Schizosaccharomyces pombe: one gene and its partners. The main gene of each other region encodes a partner of the protein of the gene in region 3 in a complex. Each region holds a gene or a part of one and is shown on either strand. Other genes may lie near its edges. A codon is read from its position in the direction of its gene.

Region 1 (3,371 bases), on a different chromosome or scaffold from region 3:
TTGAGCCTGAATTTTTAAACGATGATGTTATTCGAGGTAATAAACGTAAAGCACTTCCTGCTTACGAATGTCCGGATTGCCAAAAGGTAAGAGTATTTTTGGCTTTTTTCCCTACTAATTGGTGTTTTAGTTCTATGAGTTACATGGTCCAGTCAAAGAAAGCAGCGTTGCGCCTACTTGGAATGACGAAAACCGCTTGGGTGGTGGCTCTTTACCCAATTGTAAGCATCAACCTTTGGTGCAAAAAGTAGGCCGGCATCGAAAATTAAACATCCCCAAACCTATTCCAAATGGTTTTTGGGAAAGTGATTTTGTAGATTAAAACTAAATAATGATTGTGAAACTTCATCCAATGACAACTTGTCTAAATAAATTGATACGCCAACCGTGTACATAGATGTATTCAGAGATCATTAGCATGAAGCTTACAACGTTACAATAAGCATTCGAACTTCGATTAGCGTTCACTACCCCAATTGTTAATCAACTACATTCAGCAAAGCAATGAATTTACGATTTACTATATTCCGGACTTATTCACGATAAGCTGAAATTTTCATTAGAAAGGGGGATAAATTAAAACTCGTTTTTAGAAATAAAAGAAGCGAATGTAGCAAAGTCAAACCTTCCAGTACCTGATAATGGTGGGTCCGACGAAGTAGCATCTTACCATGAAAGTCGAGTTAGGCTCAAGAAATAAAACAACTAAATAAATTTTCATTTGACTAAGCAAAAAGAAACCCAGATCATGCTGAAACTTTATTGAACTCAAAATGTGGGAATTTCTTATTTCTTGTCCTTTTCGGAGGGGGAGAAAATACCACCGGAAATTTGACCACGTCCCTTAAACCCTTCGCTAGCTTCACCACTAATAGGGTTGATCTTGTTCTCCTTCATGTACTCATTGGACTTCTCTTGCCATTCACGAGTCATGGTACGAGGAGAAGGAGCAGCTTGAGTGCGGATGAGACCAAACAATACGACACCGATCGTTAAACCAGCGACAGTTCCCCAAAAAACTGTCTTTTGACTAATGTGGCTGAAAGCACGAGGACCGTGTTCACCAAAAGCAATCCAATATGCGGCTTTCTTTTCCTCAATGGAGAGTGTCGTCCAGGGTTGTTTCTGACGAGCATACAAATCTGTGATAAGACCGTCTTTCTCCTCCTGAGACATAATACCCCAACGCTTGTCCAAATCAACCAAACGAGGACGAGCGATCATGGCCTCTCCGGAAGGCTGCTCTTTCTGCAAAGCGTTGGTAGCAGCAGCACTCACAGTAGCAGCATTGCGAGTGCAGAGAAGCTTCATTGGCACTTTTTTGCAGATAATTTTTGAAAGATACATAATTATTAGCTTAATTCAATAATTTAATGCTAAAAAGATCGAATTATAGAGAGAGGGGGAATTTGGGTGTGTAAGGAAGAAGGCCAACGCCAATCCTCGGGAGTCCCATTGGCACACTGTCGGAGAAATTAGGGTAGGGTTTAGCTTCGCATGCTGATTAAAGATCGAAAGTACGAAGGGTAAGTGAAATGTTTATGGTTAATTCTACTTTCTAATTTCTAGTCCTCCGTTTGAATTTGTAGAAAATAACTATGAAAGCTCATAGAGACGAAACGATACTAATGTGTTGCTTTGAATGAACGCGGAAGGATAAAAAAGTATTTACAAGAAAACAATCGGTAACTTTCTCAAATAGATTTTCTACTAAACCGTAATTCAGTATCGATGTCCTGTTGATCTAAACCAACCTACGCAATTTCGTTCCTCTAAACAGAAAAAAGCGGGCTCAAAAAGCCAGCTTTAAAACCAAAAGTGATTCCCTTTGATACTGTAAATAATACAAAAGAATCTATTGCTTTGCTATTAAAATCTAAAATTATTCAAACAAGGAAAAAATAAAACCCAATTATTTTGGCTCGCTTTTTCTAGTTTGCAACATGGTTTGACCTATAGATTGATACATTTTAAGTTATCCATGGTATTTCCATCTACTCCAACGACAAGTTACTGGGTATAGAGAGCCAAAGTCTTCTTCACCAATTTCTTCTCCCATTTGTCTTTCAAATCCGGCGGCGTCCATTCCCTTTTCAAACACACCTATTTCTTCCAAATGTGTTTCGCGAAGTGGATACTCTGTGATAACAATCCCGTCCTTAGCTAAATATTTACGAAACAGTGCAATGGCTAACTCGCCGAAATGAGTTTCATAGATACAATCACTTGCTATAATCCGTTGAAATGGTTTAATAAGCCATGATGGTCGGTTATCATCATCTGGGGGATTCATCCAATCTAATACATGACAGCTTACTGAACCCGCATATTGCTGGATAAGTTCAGAATTGTAATCAACGTTATACTGCATATTTTCTACTATATCTGGTAGATCTGTACATACAACTTGCCATCCTAATTGAATGGCTGCACTAATGCCAACAAGCCCAGTCCCAGCCCCTAATTCTAGCGCGTTAATGGAATTACTCAAATCTTCCCATTTGGGAAGATTTGCTGAAAGCAAGGGAGCAGACCCCCATGTTTTAAATCCTAAAGTATTATAGGTCATAGTGGGCTCTCGAAGAACTACAGAAACACCATTTGAAAGGGAAAATTCCCTCTTCCTAGTAGGAGCTGCAAGTCTACCACTACGCTCTGCAATTCGTTCACAAATCGTGCTAACCAAATAGTCTCGTTCCTCTTCAACTGTGATCCATTCCAAATTTGTAGCTAAGAGCTTGATAAGCCAATTGAGGATTATTTTCTCCTCATACTTAGGAAGGTCCCACAAGTGCTCCCCAGTAGGAATTTTGTCCAAAACATCTTTAATTTGAGAGTAAGAAGGCTGTTCGTGACTTAAAGGTAGATCCGTGTCTTCTAAAATCATTGTGATTTTTTTAAAATACCCAAAACCAGAGACGAAAAAGCAAAAACAAAAGAAATCCCAAAGACCCAAAAAAGACAGGAGTCAACCTGTTTTCCTTTGCAAACCAGCTAAATTTTAAACAAATGAGAATCCCAATTAACTACCTATGTGAGAGTATGCGTGAGAGACATACTATGATTAAGTATGGATAAAACGAAATTTCTCTCTTTACCATCCATGAGTCCAACTTTTCAAATTAGATCAAAGCTAGGTAACATGTACCTCGCAGGAGTGAAATCACGGTGTTGATCAAAAAGCAAGAAGCAATTTAAAAGCACTGGTTATTAAAGCATCTAATTTCTCAATTTCATTCTCACTCAACCGCCTATCCCAAAAATACAACTCAATTCCAATGGATGTATGTCTTTTCCAGACCGCGTTGTCTACACTGCGTGAAAAAAAGGAATAATGAGGAATATTGTGTCCCTATATGCAAATGCAATAG
Region 2 (3,644 bases), on a different chromosome or scaffold from region 3:
AGATGTTCGCTCTTCTTTACATGCTACGAAAGCTTCAACTGCGTTGACAAGCGGCGAGGGTGTCTTCGCAGACGGATGCAATTTTGACTTATACAAAAAGATTGTGAGTAACAACGTAGAATCAGTTCTCGTTGAAATAATTCCACGCTTAACAGAAAAATACAAAGTGTCTTTCTTAGCTGGGGCATTGGATCTTCAAATTCTTTGGACCGGAACTCTTTTGGCATTGCAAAATACAACATGGAATGGATGGCAGGGATTCACTCAATCTCCTGGAAGTTTAGAGACAACTAATGGATTTACTTTGGATGAACGTAACTTAGCCTTTACATTGTCCAACTCGGTTGGGCACATGGCTCCATCTAAAGACCCTCAAATGGTTAGAGAATGGCTTGAAAATACGTTGCTTTATTAAAAGTTTAATATCGGAAAATTTAAAATACAAGTTTATTGACTTACCACTGATGTGGTATATCAATAAATAACTATCGTTTATGAAACTCGGAACGATAATTAGATCATATTTCCGCATGACTACAAGAAAAAAAGAATGGTGCTTGAATTAACAACTAAGATATGGTTGAATAGATAGAATTATTTATAAGATATACGTTTACGAATAATCGAATCGTTCCCAAAATAAGAAATAGATCAGCATACAGTTTTCATTGATTTTTCAAAGTTCAAATAAAAGAGCTAAATTGTTATAAAAGAGTATGAAAATAGCAAGGGGATATGGAAGATTGGTAAGCATACTAATGACTGTGTTCAGCGTTGGGATCTCCCATGAATTTTAATTTGTATACAGATCCGCATTCAGGACAACGGCGGAGTTTGTCTTTGTAGACAGTCATCCAAATTAAATTATGTGAACCAGAAGGACTACCAGTACAGCCAATATGACGGTAAGGATCAAGAGAAGTGACCATTATAGGATCCGTCAATGTGCCTTTACGAGAAGCATCCAACGGTTTCATATCAAATGCATCTCTCCCTGAAAGCTCTGATAAAAGTTCATATCGTTCCAAACCAGTGGCTTGCTCCAAATCAGTTGGAACCTCGCCGTCACGACCACCAGGTCCGATCAAATCAGAAGGTTCCTTAGCGTTGGCTAATTCTTGAGCGGCGGCTTTTACAACTAAAAGAATGTTAGTGAAGGAGATAAAAATTAAGCTAAAAAGCCCTAAAATGTATCGGCAGCACAAATTAACAAGTCATATCTACTAAGCGACTTAATAGATGAAATAGAAAGCGTTTTAAGAGAGTGGGCTATAGGCAACGTCGATTTTCATTCTTTTGATTACTTTTTAGGTCTGTAAAATATAGAAAAGAATGAATGGGCACACAAGCCTAACTTCCGATATATAATTAATAGCAAAACTGTACATCGGAGATCAAGAGTCAACGGAAGCTTTACTCCTATAGCCAGTACTAAACAAGCTTTAACCATTAAGCTGCTATGACAAACTTTACTAAGCTTTCAAAGGACTTACCGTTTTGCTCATTACGGCGGATTGAAGCAGAAACAAAGCCACGGTACAGAGAAACAGTACTCCTGACCGCTGCTCTTTGTCTGGAGACACGAAGCATAGAATTCATAAACATCTTAAAAGACAATTATTGATGATTTATAACCTGATAATGGGTGAGATGGGGTGTTGTGTAGTTTCCAACGTTGGTCCGGTATTGTGTAACGAAATTTGGTAGGACAGCAAGCTACAACAGAAAAAAAGATGAGAAGGTTAACAAAAAACGGAATTATTTCTTAAACAGTTACGAATAAGATGATAATGGGGAAGTTCCAATATTACTATTGCCTTAATTATATTGTATAAAAAACGAGTAGTATGAGATGTCCTTTTCTTGATTGACTATCGGTGCTCATAACTTGCTAAACATATCTGAGTGTTATAATTAAAGGGATCATTGCTATATTTCTACTGATTGTTTGTGTTTTTTAAGGTTCATGAGCTATACCCTGGAAGAAATTGACTTAAATTGTTTTGTTTACTCATTTCTTATACAACTCTTTATGAACTAGAGGTTTAATGTATCATGTTTGCCTCGGGAATATTAATTATTTTAAAAGCAATATGACCGAAAGAAATAAATTCCCTAGTGATGAACGATTTTCAGGTCGTTCATTTTCGATCTTGTCCTCTCAATTATTACAATCCGTTTGTTCTATTGTTTAAAGCAAACATGCATACATTCTCTGTATATTACTGACCACATTGTGTTAATCAATTAAATCTAATACGAAATACTATTTTTTAATACCTTTTCGTTGGTTCATTTAGTCGTTTCTTTTCATCTAGTTTATTCACATTAAATTTCATAGCTTTTCATAATAATTGTAAAAAACGTTGAGGTGTCTTTCTGCTATTTTGTAGCTAATTTACAGAGTTAACTATTGAGTCAACCAACTAAGTTGTTTATTTAGCAACTTCGAACATAACCCAAGCGATGAAAACCAAATTGATAAATATTTATGTAATAAAGAAAGAGGAAATATGTGAAGCTTTTATTAACTTCGTAGACGTTAAACTATTCCCAAATTTCCTTCTAATAACGAATATGTATTACGCAGTTCATTATTCCGCGATATTTAAATTGCCATAGTTTGGTGATAGTTGACGCGTTTGGCATCAACTTAGTAGCAATCCAGTGCTTATTCGGGACTCGAATATATCTTGAGAACACAAAGTCATATCTCTTAACTTCTTAAGTGTACTTTTTTATTAAGAGAGCTTTGAGGTCAACCTGTTTTCTCGAAGCTTAGGCTTAAGTGACTTCGTTCTTCTTCCATTCATAGTTTCGATACTTTAACAAGTTTTTTTTACAAAGGATCGTCAGACTTCTGTATCGATATTTTCCCCACTATGTCTGATGCTGAAGACAGCGATTCGATTGTAAATGAATTTGTAACGGCAATTGTTCGAGAATCCGATAAGTTTGCCAAAGTGCATTCTTATCCCATGCAGTATGGTACTGGAGGATATCGCGCTGAGTACGTTGATAAAAAAAGAAACTTACTTTTAGTTTAAATGGAAATTATTAACATTTTATTTATAGCGCTGAGCTGCTTTCGAGTGTTGCTTTTCGCACAGGCGTAATCGCCAGCTTTTTGTCAGCCAAATTGCATGGACAACCTGTTGGACGTAAGACACATACTTTTATTATTGCGAGATGATTCATTTACATATTGATATCCATCTTGTTCCTTTGTATTTCTTTGAGTTTACTTACTAACAATCTTAGTTATGGTGACTGCCTCGCACAACGCCTCTTCCGAAAACGGGTTAAAGATCGTAAACATTTTGAGTAGCCTGGATTCTAGCAAATGGGAAGCATACCTGGATCAAGTAGTAAATGCGGATTCCGCTGACGAATTAACGGTTTGTTTAACTTCAATTTTGAAAAAGGCAAAGATTATTCCCGGTTCTGAAGCTCGGGTGTTTGTTGGCTATGACTCAAGGTTTGTTTTACTTTTATTGTCGATATTAGATCACTTAATTTCTCCGCTTTTTTAAATCTTATGTCCAAGACTAACATCTAATACTTAGGTCTACTTCAGAAATCCTTGCGCAAGCTGTAATTGACGGTATTGTGGTCTGCAAAGCAAAGTACGAAAATTTTGGCCT
Region 3 (6,162 bases):
CTAGAGATTTTAACACATGCAAATCGAACGAATCAACAAAAACAATACATCCTTTAGGGGATGTTTGTGTTTTTTTGTGACGTGGTGAACAGGTGAGTAAAAGGGAAGAACGGACCTTAAATTTCGGCTAAATTCCGAATAAACACACTCTTTTGGAGTGTTGTGAAAGAAGTGAAAACTTTGATTTAAGACTGGCTTCTTACGATTAAAGTAGTTGGAGAGGTAAAAGCTTAACAAGCTCAAATCGTAATCATGACACTAAGTGGTGCTCTGATCACATTGGCTCTGAGACAACAGCCAAGATGAACATTTAGTTCATCCAGCAGTGGAGAATATTAGTCAATGATCGAAAGATTGAACTAGTCATCTAGAAGAGTGAAACTTTTAGTTATAGCTCCTTAAATTAAGAAAATTTGATTCTTAATTTTATGTAATTCTTGCCAATTTCCGTGCCAGCAGCAGCGGTTATACGGATAGAATAAGCGTTTAACATAATAAAAAGGCCTAAAAAGTATGTAGATGGAAAAAAACAAATCTTTTTCTAGAGTAATAAAGATGTTTGTAGTATTGTCAAATAAGGGATCAAATCCGACAATCTTGATGAGACTGCTTAAGTAAAAACTACTTACAATTAATTACTGACATTGAGATACGAAGGCTTAGATCGCGAAAGAGATTAGATACCTCTGTAGTCTAAGCTGTAAACGATTATTGCTCTCCCAATCTTTTTGATTGGGTTTAGTGAAGACGGTAAGCAATATGCCTGGGGAGTACTTTCGCAAGATTGAAACCCAAAACATTAGACGGTCTTGGAAATCCGCAGTGAATCATGTTATTTAATTAGATAATCCGCTAAAAATCTTACCTTTCCTTAAAACAATTAGTTTTAATTGTTGGGTATTGCATGGCTGTCTTTAGTTAATGTCGTAAGATGAGGTTAATTCCCATTAATTAACGAAAGCCTTCAAAGAATTTGTTTTTCTTTGTGTTAGTGATAAGCTAACTTTTTAGAGGGTTAAGACAAGTCAATATGATCCTTATGGAAAGGGCTATAGACGTGATATAAAATCTAATCCAATAATTTTTAATATCGAAAGATTGAAGTATTATTATAATGGTTAGGAGATTTATTCAGATTTAAATCTGTAATTTGATTTAATGAAGGAGGAATTGCGAGTAATCACTAATCATTACGTAGTGGTGAAATTTATCTCTGAGATGTACTAACTACTCGTCAAGCGCTGAAAGTATTAATCTCTTGAAGAAGACATTCATTTGTTTTCCAAAGGTGTTGTGCAATTAGTGTTAAGTCGAAATAAGGTAACCGTAGTGGAAGTTGCGGTTGAATAATTAATTCAGGTTAACCCCCCCCCAAAAAATAAAATACATCCATATCAAAAAGATGTTAATTGTTGGTATAGTTTAATTGGTTAAAATAATCTCCTCATGTGAGATTGATCTATAGGTTCGAGCCCTTTTACCAACTTTTCCTTAACCACATCTGTTTAAGTCAAAAAATCTTAAATGGTAGGAAACCTTTAAACAAAGTTTAAAAAAGTTATTAAATAATCTTAATGATCTTTTCATCTACCCTAAAATATTGAATCCTTTTAAAATAGTTTAATAAATTAGCTTTTGGATGAAAACTAAAAATTTTTTTTTAACTTAAACTTATTTAGAAATTAATAATTTAGTCTTGAGTTTAATGAACTCTTGGTGGACTTATGTTAATAGATGGATATTCTCAACTAATGCTAAGGATATTGCCATACTATATTTATTATTCGGATTGGTATCTGGGATAATTGGATCTGTATTCTCTTTTATAATTAGAATGGAACTATCAGCTCCAGGATCTCAATTCCTTTCTGGAAATGGTCAATTATACAATGTTGCAATCTCAGCACATGGTATACTTATGATTTTTTTCTTCATTATTCCTGCTTTATTTGGTGCATTTGGTAATTATTTAGTACCTCTTATGATAGGTGCTCCAGATGTTGCTTACCCTAGAGTAAATAATTTCACATTCTGGTTACTACCTCCTGCTCTAATGCTATTATTAATTTCTGCATTAACAGAAGAAGGACCTGGTGGTGGTTGGACGGTTTTAAAGCCGCAGACAAAATTGTCTGAAAACTCTTCTCGATGCGAAAAAGTCCTCTACTCGGAAGTAATTACTCAGTTAATTTATTTTTTAACTAGTAAAAAGATTACTAACTTGGGGAAAATTCGCCTGGTTAAATCCATCAGAGACTCGTTTCTATCACAATTAGAAAATATTTTATGTTTCTTTTTGGTTTATAGAACAACATACTCTTTCGGAGTGTGTTTAATGAAGAGGTTCTTATTTAATAAATTTTTTAATAGACATCCTTTTACAAGGGTAAAAAGCTGTTTTTCATCATCTTCACCATCAAAATTCTCTTTTACTCAATGGTTAGTAGGATTTACTGATGGTGATGGTTGTTTTAGTATTTCAAAACAAAAAATAAAAAATGGCAAAAATAAATGGTCTCTTACTTTTAAATTAACACAAAATCTTTATAATTATAGAATTTTATATTTTATTAAGAGAAATTTAGGTATTGGTTCACTTTATAAAGAATCTTCAACTAATACAGTAATATATAGATTAAGAAGAAGAGAGCATCTTAAAAAGATTATAGATATTTTTGATCAATTCCCTCTTTTAACTAAAAAATATTGGGATTATTATTTGTTTAAAAAAGCATTCTTAATTTTAGAGGACGCTAATCTAAATTCTTTTGAAAAAAATAGTAAACTAGAAGAGATCAGAATAGAGAAAAAGTCTTTAAAACAATATTCTCCAGTTAATTTAGAAAAATATTTAACAAAGTCTTGGTTAATTGGATTTATTGAAGCAGAAGGGAGCTTTTATTTACTACAAAAAAGCCCTGTAAGAATAATTCATGGGTTTGAGATTACTCAAAATTATGAACAACCCCTACTTGCTCAGATTTCAGAGTTCCTATTTAATTCTCAAATCTCACCAAAAATAAAATCAAAAAAAAATTCCTTAATTACAAATTATTCCTTATCAACTAGTTCAAAAGAAAGAATGTTATTTCTTTCATCTTATTTTGAAAATTGTTTTAAAGGAGTAAAATCATTAGAATTTAAAATTTGGTCTAGATCTTTACGTAAAAATTATAATTTTGAACAGCTTTTAAGAGCTAGAGATTTAATTAGAAAATTAAAAAATAAATATTCCCGAGGATCACAACATCCAAAGGATAAATAAAATAAGTTCAAGGTATAGTCCGATCAAGATTGAGAAATCTTGTTAACTAAAATGATATCCACCACTATCAAGTATCACTTCTCATAGTGGTCCAGCTATTGATCTAGCTATTTTAAGTTTACAATTAACTGGTATTTCATCAACATTAGGATCAGTAAATTTAATAGCGACAATGATTAATATGAGAGCTCCAGGATTAAGTTTATATCAAATGCCATTATTTGCATGGGCTATAATGATTACATCAATTCTATTACTGCTTACTTTACCAGTTTTAGCAGGTGGATTATTTATGTTATTCTCAGATAGAAATTTAAATACTTCATTCTATGCTCCTGAAGGTGGTGGTGACCCTGTACTTTACCAACATTTATTCTGGTTCTTTGGTCATCCAGAGGTCAATTTAATAGGCCTCTTAACGTTGCTATATGCTGGAACTACTTGAAAAATACTAGATAAGTGTTTTTGTTTTAAATACTCCAAGAAAAACACCAGATTAGTGTTTATTTTTATAGTAAAAATGTTAAAACAATTAAGTATATCAGCAGGTAACCTTTTGAATAAGGGAACCTCAGAGACTTTACGCAACGAAATCACAACAAAAAAAGTTTCTATTCATCTCCCTAAACACTTAAAACCAGCTAATGATTCTCAATTTGGTCACTATTTAGCAGGTTTAATTGATGGTGATGGTCATTTTAGTAGTAAACAACAATTAATTATTGCTTTTCACTCTTTAGATATACAATTAGCTTATTATATTAAAAAACAAATAGGTTATGGTATTGTACGTAAAATTAAAGATAAAAATGCTATTCTTTTTATAATAGCTAACTCTAAAGGAATTGAAAGAGTAATAACTTTAATTAATAATAAATTTAGAACTACTAGTAAATATAATCAGATTATTAATAATATATTTGCTCATCCTAGATTTAAAGAATTTAGTAAAACTATTACTTTAGGTTTAAATTCAAATAATAATTTAAATAATCATTGGCTAGCTGGATTCTCAGATGCTGATGCTAGTTTTCAGATTAAAATTTTAAATAGGGACAAAAAAATAGAAGTTCGATTGAACTATCAAATAGATCAAAAAAAAGAGTATCTTTTGAGTTTAATTAAAGATAATTTAGGTGGTAATATAGGCTATCGAAAAAGTCAAGATACTTATTATTATGGTTCTACTAGTTTTGGTTCAGCTAAAAAAGTTATTAATTATTTTGATAATTATCATTTGCTATCTTCTAAATATATTAGCTATTTAAAATGAAGAAAAGCTTATCTTATTATTCAAGAAAATAAACATTTAACAGAATCAGGACTTTCTCAAATAAAAAAACCTCATCCCTATCGGAAGAATATTAATTAGATTTGTTGAGATTTAAAATAAAGTCCTAACAAGGGTATAAAGCTTTTGAGTGTTAAAAAGAATAAATCACCTTTTGGGTGATTTTTTTTCATTAACCAAAATTTATTGTTATATTTTAATTATGCCAGCTTTCGGTGTTGTTAGTCACATTATTCCTAGTTTAGCTCATAAACCTATTTTCGGTAAAGAAGGTATGCTTTGGGCTATGTTAAGTATTGCTTTATTAGGATTAATGGTATGGTCTCATCACTTATTCACAGTTGGTTTAGATGTTGATACTAGAGCTTATTTCAGTGCTGCAACTATGGTTATTGCAATTCCAACAGGTATTAAAATCTTCAGTTGGTTAGCTACTTTAACAGGTGGTGCAATACAATGGTCAAGAGTACCTATGTTATATGCTATTGGTTTCTTAATCTTATTCACAATTGGTGGATTAACAGGTGTTATATTAAGTAATTCAGTATTAGATATCGCTTTCCATGATACTTATTTCGTTGTAGCTCACTTCCATTACGTTCTGTCAATGGGTGCATTATTTGGTCTTTGTGGTGCATACTACTATTGGAGTCCAAAAATGTTTGGATTAATGTACAATGAAACTCTAGCTTCAATCCAATTCTGGATTTTATTCATAGGTGTTAATATTGTATTCGGTCCTCAACATTTCTTAGGATTAAATGGTATGCCTAGAAGAATACCAGATTATCCAGATGCATTTGTGGGATGGAATTTTGTATCAAGTATTGGTTCAGTAATTTCTATTCTTTCATTATTCCTATTTATGTATGTTATGTATGATCAATTTACATCAAATAGAGTGGTTAAAACAAATCCTTATTTAATCCCTAGCTATTTTGATGATAATGTAATCTTCGTAAATGAAAAATTAGGGGTAGCTCAATCAATAGAATGGTTACTACATTCACCAGTACACGAACACGCATTTAATACATTACCTACAAAAAGTATTTAATTTAAAATCTTAACCCCCCTTTTATTTTATAAACTTTATTCCAATTTAAAAATTGGAGAGGGAGATTGAAGGATAATTTAGCTATCCTATTCAAAATTGTATCTTTATAATTTTTTTATTCCTTATATGTGAGAGAACACTATTGAGATAAACTAATTTAGCTTAAACATGAATCTTTCTACTAAATTTCAAGGACATCCTTATCATATTGTAAGTGCGTCACCTTGGCCATTTTTCTTATCTGTAGTATTATTCTTTAACTGTTTAGCAGCTACATTATATTTACATGGATACAAACATTCATCAGTATTCTTTGGAATCAGTTTCTTAGGTTTATTAGCAACTATGTATTTATGGTTTAGAGATATGTCAACTGAAGCTAATATTCATGGTGCACATACAAAAGCAGTAACAAAAGGATTAAAAATAGGATTTATGTTATTCCTAATTTCTGAAACTTTCTTATTTGCTTCTATTTTCTGGGCTTTCTTCCATAGTTCATTATCACCTACTTTTGAATTAGGTGCAGTATGGCCACCAGTAGGAATA
Region 4 (2,809 bases), on a different chromosome or scaffold from region 3:
GGCCCAAATGCTGTTATTTACTTCTTGGAAGAAAACTCCGAGATTGTATTAAATACACTTTATGCTGTTACTAAAAATGCTGAAGGATGGAGCAAGCAGTATGGCTCTTCCCCCGTTACTGTTGATTCTGCTGCAGCCAATATTGTATCATCTGGTATAAGCCGAGTTATCTTAACTCGAGTGGGTAATGGGCCTCGAGTTTTGACGATTGACGAATCTTTGATCGATGCATCTGGCAACCCTAAATTTATAGGAAGTCATTAATGATTTCGAGTGTTGTGCGTAGTATCAAGTTTTTGTGCACTGCAAACAGTTACTACATAATTTATCAACGGCACACTGTTTCACGGGATATGGGTTTTTGTTTCGAGATAGTACTATATATTTCAACAAAATACAGCAACCTCACATCGATTTTTTTGTTATCTGTTTATAGATTAAAGAATTCTTACTTCTAAAAAGAAAATTTATTTCGAAGATGCTGAGCACTTTGAAGTTTTAAGCTTTATTACTTTTACATAGAAGACGATTTGACGGTCAAGAAAATGTAAGGAAATGGAAATTTGATTATTTAACGCAACTTGCAATGATTGAAGTTTCTTACAAATTACGGTTATGCTAAACAGAAACAATAGGTTAGTAAAGTACAGACACATTAGTATGCTAACGCACGTATTTCACCACAATGAATGGGATGGAAAAGATCACACCTGAATTCTAGGTTAGATAAATCTTCATAAAGAAAAGGAAAGGAAATGTTCCTCTAATAAGTTGGCTTTCTATGCATTTTTTTTACTGTAGAAGTAATTTTTTTTGCAAGTGAGATGCCATTCCTGGTAAAGCTGCTTTTACCAAATTACAGATGCATAGGACTCAAATCTAGTTCACCAACATACCAAATGTTCCAAAGTAAAGTAAAGTAGGAAGTGGTTTCTTGTTAATGTAAAAAGGGATCGTTCTATTGAGCAAAAATAGCATATTGTTAGCAATTGCCGTTGAAAACAAACAGGATGATTCCCACTTACGATCCAGGTTTAGGGGCCGAATGAGAAGAAGAAAAACGAACACCACGAAGGGCTGAACGAGCTTGAAGACTGTAACGAAGCATGGGAATTGAGTTGGGAGTTGGTAAGTTTGCTGCTAGCAAATCAATCATTTCCCATTGCATCGGGATACTTTCGTTTAAGGAATTACATAATAAACTAGTGTGCATACCTTACTCTATATACGTGTAAGCTACGCAGTTTGGTATTTGATTTAAGGATACGTAGAACTGCGGTGAGTTTTCCTTGTGGTCTATTATATTACAATACACAGGTTGTATAAGTAGCAACTGAGTATAGGTATTGTATTAACTGGGTTATAATGTTACCTATCACTAATATAGCTCATAACTGAACTGAGGAACGAGGTTCAGTTGTAACGCTATTTATAATATTTCTAAATAGTTGTTATCAATGGGTATCTATGTATATAGACGGATAGTTACCCGTGATTATCAATAAACGGATCTTAGCTAGTATTCCAACATATGACATATAGTGATACGCAACGTAGTGTATCATAGCGTAGTGTGGTATTGCTGACAATACGGAAAAATAGCGAAATTTAAGAAGTCGGCGTTAACGATGTCTTAATTCGTACAACAGTACTTAGCTTAATTTGGTAAACAATAAAGAGTAATGTGCGACCTTACAGAAGTAGGTACGTTCTTTGGTTAAAATATCTAGTTCTTTTAGAAAAGTGGTAATTTTTTCTGCCACGTGATTTTAATCATTATAAATGTGTTGAGAGCATCAACTTGTCCGTCACCTTATAAAGCTCAACGTAGTCTTGTGCGTTGCAGCATTTTTAGAAGCTACTTAGAACATGAATTTATGTTGGTAGCACTGAGAAGTACAAAATAAAAAAATCAAATCAAATTGGCTTAGTACCTTTTGAATATTCAAAATTTTCAAGCTTGGGAGCTTTATGTTCTAATTAAAACACGGAAATCGGGACATTGGTTGGCTTTGTATGCTGATTTTTCGCTAATGCCAACCGTGAATTACTAAAGTGATCTTGAAGTTTCCCTTATTTTTGAACATTTAGCTGCTAAGAGCTGGCTACATATTTGAAAAGGATACCTTGAGGTACTACAGTTTTATCACGATGGATCCAGCACATCATATTAAGGACACTAGTGCAGAATTACTTTCGCAACAAGACTTTTCTATACTACAAAGTCGACTGTTGGAATTTTTGGCATCTCAAGAGGCTCGGGAAACCGTAACGGCTTCTAAGGAATTGACATTACTTCGCCAGGGCATTCGACAGTTAAAAGAAAAGGTTTCAAAAATGGAACCTGAGGAAATGACAGTGAAAGAAAAAAAATCTATCATCGAAATTCTCAAAGCCCGCATTGCTTTGAAAAAGGCTTTTCTAAAGATGGCATTATCTGAAAGCAATGATACCGTAGTTAAAAAAGAGGACGTAAGGGAAAGTCCTGTTGATACTTTTATGGAGAACGCAACCTGATGTTCGAGAGCATCAATTTAATCTCTATAAGGTACTTCTTCAACTCCAAAATATCGCGTCTACGTTGATGAAGTGAAAGCTATTCGAACTCAGCGTTTGTGATTCACTATCAATCTATTGAATATCTTAAAATATCTCGACGCTCTTAAAATTTGATACTCAGCCTTTAATTGACTAATTTGTAAGTTGCATAAAAATAATCCTTGTCGCCTTTTGGTAGTGCGTTCTCAATTAACACTTCTACAAACAGTAGGTTTGATAAAGAGTCCTCTTTAAACCTTACAATATAATT

What was found.
Region 1: the proteins of cox1 (region 3) and cox5 are in contact, whole or in part, in a cryo-EM structure (PDB 8Q1B), measured with the Schizosaccharomyces pombe proteins. Residues at the interface, in YP_011104928.1 of Schizosaccharomyces pombe: Met44 (codon at 1,835), Ser47 (codon at 1,844), Ala48 (codon at 1,847), Pro49 (codon at 1,850), Ser51 (codon at 1,856), Gln52 (codon at 1,859), Phe53 (codon at 1,862), Trp340 (codon at 5,014), Ser341 (codon at 5,017), Arg342 (codon at 5,020), Glu414 (codon at 5,236), Thr415 (codon at 5,239), Ser418 (codon at 5,248), Ile419 (codon at 5,251), Trp422 (codon at 5,260), Ile423 (codon at 5,263), Ile426 (codon at 5,272), Ala453 (codon at 5,353), Val455 (codon at 5,359), Gly456 (codon at 5,362), Phe459 (codon at 5,371), Ser462 (codon at 5,380), Ile463 (codon at 5,383), Val466 (codon at 5,392), Ile467 (codon at 5,395), Leu470 (codon at 5,404), Ile496 (codon at 5,482), Pro497 (codon at 5,485), Ser498 (codon at 5,488), Tyr499 (codon at 5,491); in NP_588158.2 of Schizosaccharomyces pombe: Tyr71 (codon at 1,137), Ile92 (codon at 1,074), Ala93 (codon at 1,071), Phe94 (codon at 1,068), Gly95 (codon at 1,065), His97 (codon at 1,059), Pro99 (codon at 1,053), Arg100 (codon at 1,050), Phe102 (codon at 1,044), Ser103 (codon at 1,041), Ile105 (codon at 1,035), Gln107 (codon at 1,029), Thr109 (codon at 1,023), Val110 (codon at 1,020), Gly113 (codon at 1,011), Thr114 (codon at 1,008), Gly117 (codon at 999), Leu118 (codon at 996), Ile120 (codon at 990), Gly121 (codon at 987), Leu124 (codon at 978), Phe125 (codon at 975), Ile128 (codon at 966), Arg129 (codon at 963), Gln131 (codon at 957), Ala132 (codon at 954), Ala133 (codon at 951), Pro136 (codon at 942), Thr138 (codon at 936), Met139 (codon at 933).
Region 2: the proteins of cox1 (region 3) and cox4 are in contact, whole or in part, in a cryo-EM structure (PDB 8Q1B), measured with the Schizosaccharomyces pombe proteins. Residues at the interface, in YP_011104928.1 of Schizosaccharomyces pombe: Pro181 (codon at 3,456), Gly182 (codon at 3,459), Pro272 (codon at 4,810), Glu509 (codon at 5,521), Lys510 (codon at 5,524), Leu511 (codon at 5,527), Gly512 (codon at 5,530), Val513 (codon at 5,533), Ala514 (codon at 5,536), Gln515 (codon at 5,539), Ser516 (codon at 5,542), Ile517 (codon at 5,545), Leu520 (codon at 5,554), Leu521 (codon at 5,557), Phe530 (codon at 5,584), Asn531 (codon at 5,587), Thr532 (codon at 5,590), Leu533 (codon at 5,593), Pro534 (codon at 5,596), Thr535 (codon at 5,599), Lys536 (codon at 5,602), Ser537 (codon at 5,605), Ile538 (codon at 5,608); in NP_593042.1 of Schizosaccharomyces pombe: Asp91 (codon at 980), Met92 (codon at 977), Lys93 (codon at 974), Pro94 (codon at 971), Leu95 (codon at 968), Ala97 (codon at 962), Leu112 (codon at 917), Asp113 (codon at 914), Arg116 (codon at 905), His117 (codon at 902), Ile118 (codon at 899), Gly119 (codon at 896), Thr121 (codon at 890), Asn129 (codon at 866), Leu130 (codon at 863), Ile131 (codon at 860), Trp132 (codon at 857), Met133 (codon at 854), Thr134 (codon at 851), Tyr136 (codon at 845), Leu140 (codon at 833), Arg141 (codon at 830), Pro144 (codon at 821).
Region 4: the proteins of cox1 (region 3) and cox8 are in contact, whole or in part, in a cryo-EM structure (PDB 8Q1B), measured with the Schizosaccharomyces pombe proteins. Residues at the interface, in YP_011104928.1 of Schizosaccharomyces pombe: Tyr7 (codon at 1,724), Arg10 (codon at 1,733), Trp11 (codon at 1,736), Asp19 (codon at 1,760), Ile22 (codon at 1,769), Val30 (codon at 1,793), Ile33 (codon at 1,802), Ile34 (codon at 1,805), Val37 (codon at 1,814), Phe38 (codon at 1,817), Leu54 (codon at 1,865), Ser55 (codon at 1,868), Asn57 (codon at 1,874), Leu60 (codon at 1,883), Val63 (codon at 1,892), Ala123 (codon at 2,072), Leu124 (codon at 2,075), Thr125 (codon at 2,078), Glu126 (codon at 2,081), Glu127 (codon at 2,084), Phe408 (codon at 5,218), Gly409 (codon at 5,221), Leu410 (codon at 5,224), Ile469 (codon at 5,401), Phe473 (codon at 5,413), Met476 (codon at 5,422), Met479 (codon at 5,431), Tyr480 (codon at 5,434), Phe483 (codon at 5,443), Thr484 (codon at 5,446); in NP_594028.1 of Schizosaccharomyces pombe: Lys25 (codon at 1,036), Pro26 (codon at 1,033), Ser28 (codon at 1,027), Thr29 (codon at 957), Ile30 (codon at 954), Phe32 (codon at 948), Asn35 (codon at 939), Lys36 (codon at 936), Lys37 (codon at 933), Thr41 (codon at 921), Tyr44 (codon at 912), Phe48 (codon at 900), Ile51 (codon at 705), Phe52 (codon at 702), Ile54 (codon at 696), Pro55 (codon at 693), Phe56 (codon at 690), Val58 (codon at 684), Val59 (codon at 681), Tyr61 (codon at 675), His62 (codon at 618), Asn63 (codon at 615), Leu66 (codon at 606).

What each region holds. Positions count from the first base shown.
Region 1 is NC_003421.2:1,355,842-1,359,212, reverse strand, and holds cox5 (cytochrome c oxidase subunit V), read right to left. Parts: upstream 1,420-3,371; 5' UTR 1,348-1,419; coding exon 787-1,347; 3' UTR 501-786; downstream 1-500. Other genes in the region: ctp1 (CtIP family endonuclease), read left to right, coding at 1-86, 131-322; efm2 (methyltransferase Rrg1), read right to left, coding at 1,976-2,887. UniProt on the Schizosaccharomyces pombe protein: Component of the cytochrome c oxidase, the last enzyme in the mitochondrial electron transport chain which drives oxidative phosphorylation.
Region 2 is NC_003424.3:709,262-712,905, reverse strand, and holds cox4 (cytochrome c oxidase subunit IV), read right to left. Parts: upstream 1,672-3,644; 5' UTR 1,606-1,671; coding exon 1,494-1,605; exon of another isoform or gene 1,188-1,493; intron 1,139-1,187; coding exon 756-1,138; 3' UTR 552-755; downstream 1-551. Other genes in the region: serine carboxypeptidase Sxa2, read left to right, coding at 1-415; SPOM_SPAC1296.01C (phosphoacetylglucosamine mutase), read left to right, coding at 2,883-3,010, 3,076-3,161, 3,262-3,478, 3,567-3,644. UniProt on the Schizosaccharomyces pombe protein: Component of the cytochrome c oxidase, the last enzyme in the mitochondrial electron transport chain which drives oxidative phosphorylation.
Region 3 is NC_088682.1:3,180-9,341, forward strand, and holds cox1 (cytochrome oxidase subunit 1), read left to right. Parts: upstream 1-1,705; coding exon 1,706-2,109; intron 2,110-2,110; coding exon of another isoform or gene 2,111-3,265; intron 3,266-3,319; coding exon 3,320-3,664; intron 3,665-3,665; coding exon of another isoform or gene 3,666-4,637; intron 4,638-4,745; coding exon 4,746-5,613; downstream 5,614-6,162. Other genes in the region: cox3 (cytochrome oxidase subunit 3), read left to right, coding at 5,782-6,162.
Region 4 is NC_003424.3:3,042,200-3,045,008, forward strand, and holds cox8 (cytochrome c oxidase subunit VIII), read right to left. Parts: upstream 1,109-2,809; coding exon 1,026-1,108; exon of another isoform or gene 959-1,025; coding exon 897-958; exon of another isoform or gene 711-896; coding exon 673-710; exon of another isoform or gene 619-672; coding exon 601-618; 3' UTR 550-600; downstream 1-549. Other genes in the region: mvd1 (diphosphomevalonate decarboxylase), read left to right, coding at 1-264; protein Med9, read left to right, coding at 2,152-2,517. UniProt on the Schizosaccharomyces pombe protein: Component of the cytochrome c oxidase, the last enzyme in the mitochondrial electron transport chain which drives oxidative phosphorylation.